Canis lupus familiaris: one gene and its partner. The protein of the gene in region 1 purifies or fractionates together with the protein of each later gene. This does not show direct contact. Links are inferred from orthologs where the notes say so. Each region holds a gene or a part of one and is shown in the gene's direction. Other genes may lie near its edges.

Evidence for each region. The genes of interacting proteins can lie anywhere in the genome.
Region 2: the proteins of RNPS1 (region 1) and AP2A2 purify together in Homo sapiens (co-immunoprecipitation; 3 studies listed by BioGRID and IntAct, with this or other methods). This does not show direct contact. The link is inferred for Canis lupus familiaris from reciprocal best matches to the Homo sapiens genes RNPS1 and AP2A2.

The regions. Positions count from the first base shown.
Region 1 is NC_049227.1:39,163,085-39,167,423, forward strand, and holds the start of RNPS1 (RNA-binding protein with serine-rich domain 1), read left to right. Parts: upstream 1-1,519; 5' UTR 1,520-1,657; coding exon of another isoform or gene 1,658-1,659; intron 1,660-2,178; exon of another isoform or gene 2,179-2,197; intron 2,198-4,271; 5' UTR 4,272-4,339. UniProt on the Homo sapiens protein: Part of pre- and post-splicing multiprotein mRNP complexes. Auxiliary component of the splicing-dependent multiprotein exon junction complex (EJC) deposited at splice junction on mRNAs.
Region 2 is NC_049239.1:45,693,561-45,697,800, forward strand, and holds the start of AP2A2 (AP-2 complex subunit alpha-2), read left to right. Parts: upstream 1-1,439; 5' UTR 1,440-1,581; coding exon 1,582-1,648; intron 1,649-4,240. UniProt on the Homo sapiens protein: Component of the adaptor protein complex 2 (AP-2). Adaptor protein complexes function in protein transport via transport vesicles in different membrane traffic pathways.

The DNA.
Region 1 (4,339 bases):
GGCAGAGAATTTAAGTTGCTCTAAATGGACCCCCACAACTCTAGGGCAGATCTAAATCCAAAGGGAGGACCTGCGCTCAGACCCACTCTGCCTGCCAACCCAGCTCATTCTCCAAGAGCGTCCTGGTGTCTTAGCAAACAGGGACTCAGGAGGCAACTGCTTTTTCCCTGCTCTTTTGCTGGTGACTCTCAGACACCCCTCCATCAGGTATAGGGGTACACTGACCCACCAGACCAGGCTAGAGGAGCTGCACAGGAAAGGGCGTCACCATCCATGTGCTGGGAAAACCATACAGAGCAGAGAGCAATGGCCTGCAGACGGTGTCCACAGTCTGTCCATCCATCCCTGGTCACCACACTGCAACCCGGACTCTCCTGCCCCCGCCCCGGCAGCTAATCCATCTCCAAGTCACCACAGCTCCTTCCTCCAAGAGATCTGCTTTGGATCTGTTCCCTTCTCCTCCTTGATGCACCTACCTGTGCAGACAGCCACTGGGGCAGGGTGCACCTTCCCTCCTCCCACTCAGTCCTGGGGTAACCACCGGTAGCCAGACTGGGGCAGGGACTCCGTGGGAGACACCTCGGGGAACACACCCCGAAAGCTCTGGCCCTCTCGGCGCGGCTTTTACTCTTCCCAGCCTCCTGCCTGGCCCGGGCCGTACTTCAACAGAGGAGTCCGCCTCCCTGCCTGCACTGTCCCCCGCGAGGTGTGGGGTGGGGGTGGGGGTGGGGGGGTGCTGCACAGGCTCCCGCTCGGCACCCGAACCTCACCTGCCCGGCCCTGGCCTGCGAGTCGCCCCCTGGCCTCCCCTCAACGAGCCCCCTTCGTGCCCCTGCACCTGCTGCTCCCTCACCGGGCGCCTCCTTCCCCTCGGGTCTTGGTCTGGCGCAGTGCCCCCTCCTCCTCCGGGGTGCTTGCCCTTTCGCAACTTCTCTTCTATCCGGTCTTTCGCTCCCCACTGCGATGGCAGCACTGCCCCTGTCCACGCTCAGGGCCAACGACCGCGTGGGCACTCCGCACCTCTCCTGCCCAGCTCTCTGGGCAGCTGGCGCCCCGCGAGACCCCACAGTCCGCAGCCAGAGGCCACACAGCCCTCAGCACCCCCGCACTGCCCCCGTCGGGCCGCGCACTGTCCCGCACTGCCCCGCCCCGCCCCCGCCCTGCCCCGCACCGTCCCCTCCGGTCCCCGCACTGCCCCCGCCGGCCCCCGCCAGCCACCGCACTGTCCCCGCCGCCCACCTCACCGCCCCCGCCGCCCCGCGCGCTGGAGCGGGAACCCGGGCTGCTAGTCCAGTGCGCACGCGCAACGGGGGGGCGGGGCCGCCGCTGCGTTAACCCCCTCGGCGCCGGCCCGGAGCCGCCCGCCCTGCGCGGCCCTCCCGCCCCCAGCAGTCGGCCGGCCCCCTGCGGCACGCAGCCGGCCCAGGGTCGCCCCAGATCCCCGCCTCGCGGGGGAGACAGAAGACGAGGCCCCGACGCGGCCCGTCGGGAACGGCCGGGGCCCTTTAACACTCCCTTCGCTCCCTCCATTGGCTGAGGCGGTCACGTCATCGCCGCGCGCCGGAGAGCAGCGCCTTCCCGCTCCCTAATCCTGACGCCAGAGCGGCGCCGGCCTTCGAGGCTGAGGAGAGCGGGCGGAGGTGGCGGCGGCGGGAAGATGTAAGTTGGGGGAATCCGACCCCATCCGAGCTCCGGGGGCCGCCCGCAAGGCTCGGCGGGGCGCGTGGTGGAGCCGGCCCGCCCCTCGGCCTCTTGGTAGGGACGGCGGCCCGGCGGCGCGACAGCGGGCGCGAGAAGAAAGAGTGTGGCCCGGGGCTGGCGGAGTGGGAGGCGCCGAGGCCGCGGCCCGGAAGTGGTCGGGGCCGCGGCGGGCGGAAGGGCGCTCACGTCGGCCCCCTCCCCCTGCGGCGGCCCCGGCAAGGCCCGCGGGATTCGGAGCCGCCCTCGGGCCGGCCCTGGGCTGGGAGTTGCGGGCGCCGGCGGACGGGGGCGGCGTGGGTGGAGTTGCCCCGTGGGGGGCCCGGGAGGCGCGGGGACCGCGCCGCTGCCGCGCGGGCGGGCGGGCCGCCCCACGAGGGGGGCGCGGGAAGGAAGGGAGGCCGCGGCCCTTCTTGGCTGTCGCATGACTTGTGCCAAAAACGTGCTTTTTAAGTGGGGAAGGTGCCCCGAGGACGGGGCCGAACGCCATCTGCTCGAGGTGTGACTAACTGTTCTCTCTCTCTCTGGCTGTTGGACGCGCACCTGTCCGGAGGATGGGGGAGGTAACCCAGGTCCTGTGCCGCGACCCGAACTTGTGTGGACAGAGCGCCGCGGGCTCTGCTCCCCAGGCCCGGCCGCGCCCGCAGCGCTTAGAGTCCGGGGCTTCGGGTGGTGCTGGTGGTCGGAGGGCCCTGGGGTGGGGCCCGGGGGTGCGCCCTGCCGTGGGTGCTGCCCCGGCAGGCGGGCGGCCCGGCCTGGGCCTGAGCCTGAGCCTGGGCCCGGGCCTGGGCCGGGTGGAGGTGTTGGAGAGGTCTGGCGCCCGCGGGGGAGTAAGTGTATCACGGGTGGGTCTTCACTGCCTGTACGTTGGAGAGATGGTATTGGGGGCGTGGGGTGTCAATACTTGGCTGGATCCCTCGTTAACCTCCTTGTGTAACGGGGCTGCTGGAGTGCTTGAGGACGTGCCGGCAGCTCACGCTCTTCTCCTGGGACAGGGCCGCCCTGGGTGATCCTCTTAACGGGCCGTCCAGCATTCAGGAGATCGTGTGGGCCTTTGGGAAACAAGAGTTTATGTAGGGGAAAGCCTGCACACGGGGAGGAGCACCCCTGTCTTGTAACATGAGCGGGCATTTAATTGAGCCCTAACTAGATGCCAAGTTTCCTTCCATGTGAGTAAACTGGGTTGGTGATCTTGGTAACTACGGAGGTGTAGGAGCTGTATCCCCCAAAACGCTGATGAGAGGTGGAGACTCAGAACAGCTGTGGGACTTAGCCCCGGTCCCAAAGCAGAGCTTGGAATCAGACAGGCAGGCTGACTCCAGATTCCTGCCCACTGGACCGTACTTCCTGGTTGTCCAAGGCCACTGACTCCATCCAGTGCTGCTTGCTTACTACCTTACTGTTCCAAGGCAAAACGTCTTAAAAGATTGTACCAGCCTGGAGAGGAGCCTCAAAGGTGACACCCTGCTTGCTTCTGCTCTAATTTGATTGTCCAAAGCTGGCCTCCTTTCTTGAGTCACGACATTCATTTAGCATTTTGCACACCCCTTCACATGTGAGAACAGGATCCCGGGTGGTTGCCATGTCGATGTTACTGACAGGCTGTTGAAGATGAGACAGGAGGAGTTGACACCACCATTCTGCAATCTTCGCTTGCAGCTCAAGCAAATTGTAGAAAAACCTCCCTGGAAAAAATGAAGGTCGCGAGTCCCCCAGGAGACCAGGCACATGATGGTTTGGTGGTTACACTGACCACTCACAACTCATGCTGTGGTGCGGGCACTTGGTGAGACCCTTAGGAGCAGTGCCCTCCAGTTCCAGTGAATACCCGCATAACCACCACGTAGAACCTACAAGTTACATTTCTGCCATATTTGCTTTGTCATAGAACAGATCGCCCATCCACGTTTTTTGTTGCATTTTGAAGTAAATAGCAGGCTTTGGTGTACTTTCCCCATGACGCTTCCATGTGCATATCATTAATTAAAGTTCAGCATTTGCAATGATTGCTTTCTAACTTAACTATTTTACTACTTTTTCAGTGTTCTTATGGGACATTTTATCTGTTTGCATTTGGGTGTTAATGTTTAGATGCTGGTACTTGTCACTTTTGAAATGGTTTTTGATTCTAGTCATGGTATGTTCGATGTATCCTACAAAGAAATTGCAGCAGTAAAACCTGAGATCTAATCACACCAGTGATCCTATCAGGAGAGCCACACTTGACTCTTCTGTTCTGCATGCAAATGTGGTGTTGTAACATTTCTAAGGGAATGGTAAAGGGCTTATCAAACTTAGGAGTGAAAAACAGGTATTGTACCACCTGTAAAAGAACAGTGACAGGCACTACCACCCTTTCCTTAAGGAAAAAACAACAAGGTGAGGTGAAGGTCTACCTGTGGGGGCAAGACCCTCCCTGAGGAAATGGAGGAGATCCCATATGTTCCTGGCTTTGTGGACGCTCGCTGCTTACTGTGTTCCTTGCCATCTTGTGTGCTCACCTTTTGACTGCAAAGTAGATTTGTTGCCTTGCCAACTCGTTCACTCTGTAAATCCTTTTATCTTGTTATTAGGCTGCACTTTGGCGTAAATTGCAATCGATTAGGGATCGTTTCTCAGACTCGAGTTAGAAGTGAGAGTT
Region 2 (4,240 bases), on another chromosome or scaffold:
TGCCCTTAGAAACACAGTTGTGACCACAAGTGGCTAAAATGTGACAGATGTCACACAACTTACGAAACTGTTTCCAAGCACTTCATACTCATAAAGGTGGCCTGTCCCTTGCAGAGGAGTGGCCGTGATTGGGTAGGGCTGAGTGGACTCAGGTCCGAGATCTCATGGTAATAATGATCTGAGAGCTGTGTGTCTGGCAAGGTCTGGGAGCTGGGGGACAGTGTGGGGTCTTTTTCATGACCCCCTCCCCAAAGACGTACTTTGGGGAATGTCAGGAGGCTTGGGAGGCCCAGAATCTCTGAAAGCGGGTAGGATGTCTGCGCAACTCCAAGCCTCCCTCAGAGAAGCCTTCCACCTCTGCCTGAGCTGGCAGTCTGTCCATGCCCCACGTAGGTCCCTGCAACCTCTGGGCATCGTCCTGTTCCATGAGTGGCTGCCGTGAGTGGGTCAGGGTCTGCTTGTCTGAGTCCCCTGGCTTGGCCATGGGAGGGTTATCTCCAGGTGCCAGGATGTGTTCCCTGTGGATCTCCCCTCCTCCAGGAAGCCCTCTCCAGGCCCAGCTCTTCAGAAGGTCTTGGAGGCTGGTGAAATTGCTTCCTTATAAGGATTCCAGCGTCCAGGGTTCCGGTTTCCCCCAGGGGGTCCTGCAGGCCCAGAGCCTGGGTGGGGCGCCTCGTCTGTGGCAGGGGCCCCACCCCTTCCTCCTCCCGGCCAGGGTCTAGCCAGCCCTGACTTTTCCCTGGGAACTGAGGAAGTGAGCCAGGGAGGGACAGACCTCTTTTGTGGGTGGGGGCCTGCACCAGGTTCTGGGGCCCAGACAACCCCCCTCTCCCCCTAAGGAGAAAGCTTCCTTTTCGAAGCCATTTGGCTTCACAAAGGGAGCTCAACAGGGCCACCTGCTGTCCACACAGACTGGGGGGTGGAAGGGTGGGGGAGTGTGGGGTGGGTGGTCCAGGCTCCAGGCCTCTGTTGACCACAGGGACGGTCCTCCGTGTTCACGTCTGGGGCAAGAGGAGGTGGTGGGTGGTGGCAGATGGCACAGGGCTCTGGCCGGGCCTGGAGGGCTTTAGGTCTAGACCGGCCCGCGGTCCGAGGGTGCGGTGCGGGGAGGGGGTGGGGGTGGGCAGTCCTTCGTGTTCAGGCCTCAGGAAGGGGCTGGTGGCCCTGGGCAGCGGTGACGTGCACGTAAGGCCCTCGGGGCTCCGGACGCAGACCAGTAAGCTGCCCCAGAGCCTGGGTTGGACAGGGTCGTGGGGGGCGGATGGGGAGCCTCGGACACGAACCCCGTGCTCCCGCCTGCAGGGGGCGCCCCCGCACCTGCCTCGACGCGCTCGTCCCCGCTCCGCCCGCAGCCGCGCGCGCGTGCGCGCGCGTGCACGCGGCGATCCGCGGGCGAGCGTGCGCGCGCACGCGAGACGAGCGTGCGTGCGTGCGCGCGCGCGGCGGCCCTGAAAGCGGCTCTCGGAGCCTTAGGCGGCTCCGGCTGAGGCGGCTCCTGAGGCGGCGGCGACCCGCTCCCGGCTCCCCGCTCTCGGCTCCTCCTCCCGGCCCGCCAGCCCAGGCCGCTCCCCGGGCCCGAAGATGCCGGCCGTGTCCAAGGGGGACGGGATGCGGGGCCTGGCGGTCTTCATCTCCGACATCCGCAACTGTGAGTGGCGGCGGCGCGGGACCCGGCCTGCGAGGGGCGCGGGGGCGAGGGGCGAGGGGCGCGGGGGCGCGGGGGCCGGTGCAGACCCCGAGGGCGCGGGGCAGGGGGCGCGGGGCGGGGTCCCGGAGCCGACGGGGGGCGCGGGGGCAGGGGGCGCGGGGGCCGGTGCAGACCCCGAGGGCGCGGGGGCCGGGGGCGCGGGGGCCGGTGCAGACCCCGAGGGCGCGGGGCAGGGGGCGCGGGGCGGGGTCCCGGAGCCGACCGGGGGCGCGGGGGCAGGGGGCGCGGGGGCGCGGGGGCCGGTGCAGACCCTGGGGGCAGGGGGCGCGGGGGCGCGGGGGCGCGGGGACGCGGGGCGGGGTCCGGGTGCCGACCCGGAGGGCAGGCGTCGGTGGGGGGGCGGGACGGGGTCCAGTGTGGACATGGAGGGCGGGGGGTCCGGGGGCGTAGGGTCGGGGTGCAGGGCGGGGGTCTGGGGGTCTGGGTGCGGGCCCAGAGGGCAGAGGTCGGGGGCGCGGGCCTGGGGTGCGAGGGACCTACAGGGCCGCCGAGGAGGGCGCAGGCCTGTGGGAGGCAGAGTCGGGGGCTGGGCCTGGGGCCTGCGGGTCAGGGAACAGTGAGCAGGGGTGCGGGGTGCAGGGCAGGTGGGGTTCTCCAGTCGTGGGGGGGCTGTGGCGTCTTCGACAGGGTTCTGGTGAAGACCCCCCCCCCCCCCCAGCATGATGTCATCTGGAGCAGTCTGCTCATCTTTCTAGTAATGGAGCATTTAACCCAGCGTGTTCCAAAATAGCGTGGATTTTCAGTTTGGGAGTGGGGGCAGCGAAAGCTGCCTTGCCTGGGAGGCAGCTCCGCCCGGGTCCTGGTGGCTTATTAGGCCCTGATGAAATGACTCACTCCCCCCAGGAGTGCAGACACAGGGCAGTGGAGGGTGGGGTGGCTTTCGGGTGGCTGCCCTGGCTGCTGGCCCCTTCTTCGGGACACTCGCGTCCCCTCACAGTGGAAGAAATCCACACCAGAAGCGAAACAAGCCAGGAGGCAGGTGGGGGCTTCCGTCTGTAGAGAAGCTACAGCCTTCGGAGATCTCTCCTTTATTTAATTAAAGAAATTAAAGGCAAAACCAGTTTTCCTATCTGTTGCATCTTATTATTATTTTTTTATTACCTGCCAGATAGTTGATTTTTATTGCCTTAGGGTTAATGTATGTTTTGAAGAGAGTCTGTAACCTCACTTGCTGGTAGATGCTGTTGTGTTGAGCCTTGCCTTGAAGCCCTCACCTCCTTAGACGGGGGCACCCAGATGCCAGCCTGCTTCTCCCCCAGAGAAGCTCTGATCTTCTGTCCCTCCCCTTCCTGTGCGAGAAATCGAGAAATCGGAGTGGTAGCACACTCAGATCGGAGTATTTACAAGTAGGCAATATTTTTCTTTTCCTTCCTGTGCTATTTAATGTGATTTCAGCTTTTGTAAAGCTGAGTGTGTGTGCGCTATCACTGCAGGGGGACCCTTGGCTAAAGGCTTAGCAGCCTTAAATTAGGAGTGATGTCAGTTCTTCCATTTTGGAAGAAGAATGCAGTGGGCAAGAAAGACATTGAGATTGAAACCCATTTTCTTGACAGCCGGTCACCTGCATATTAGACATGTATTCTGTGCTAGGTCTGCAGTTGAGTGGAAGGTAACTGCCTGCCATATGGGAGGACTCGGCAGATACTTGTTGACTGACCTTAGAGCAGACTTTCTCCACCCCCCACACTGCTGAGATTGGGTTATTTCTTGTGCAGAGCTGTCCAGTGGTGTTGGACAGCAGCATCCCTGGTCTCCATACAACGAGGTGCCTCCATTGTGACAACCAGCGGTGTGTTCAGACGTTGCCCTACGGGGCAGAGTTTTCTCTGGTTGAGGGCCTACTGATATAGACCAATGAATAGGATAGTCTCTTCCCCAAAGGAGCTTAAGGAGGAAGGGCTGCCTCATTTTTCTTGGGGCCAGGTCTCTGTTTACTACAGTCCCTTCCTCAGGACCACCTTTCCCACCTCATGCTGCCCTTGGTCTTTGTTTTGTCATAGTGCCGCACTTCTAGAGCGGTGTCATGGGTCTGTGGTGCTGTGCCCTCCCCTTCACTATGAACCCCACAAGGTAGGCACCACATCTGTCTTGCTTGTCATGTCTTTCCGCTGCTTGCACAGCATCTGGCATGAGACACGAGCCTAGTAAATGAATAGATGAGTGAGCCAGAAAGGATTTAGCTTCAAGATGATTCTCATGCCCATTTTGTCTAAAGAGCACTGCAGGTCGAGGGCCAAGATGTGATGGAGCAGCAGGGAATGAACGTTCTGAGCATGTGTAGGCTGGCTGTGGCTGGGGATAGGGTCAGAAAGCTAACCCTGGCCGGATGGATGACCAGAGCCATCTGAGCTTAACCCCCTGGGGCAGGGAGCTGGCTCCAGCTTCCCCTTTTCCCACCTCAGATTTTGTGTGCTCATTGGTTTCTTGTGAATGTGATGGATGTGGCCAGGCTCTGTGGAGAGACCCAGCTGCCTCTCACCTGCTCCATGACCTGAAGCCAGTGGCTGCTGAGCCTTAGGTTTCTTCAGCTGA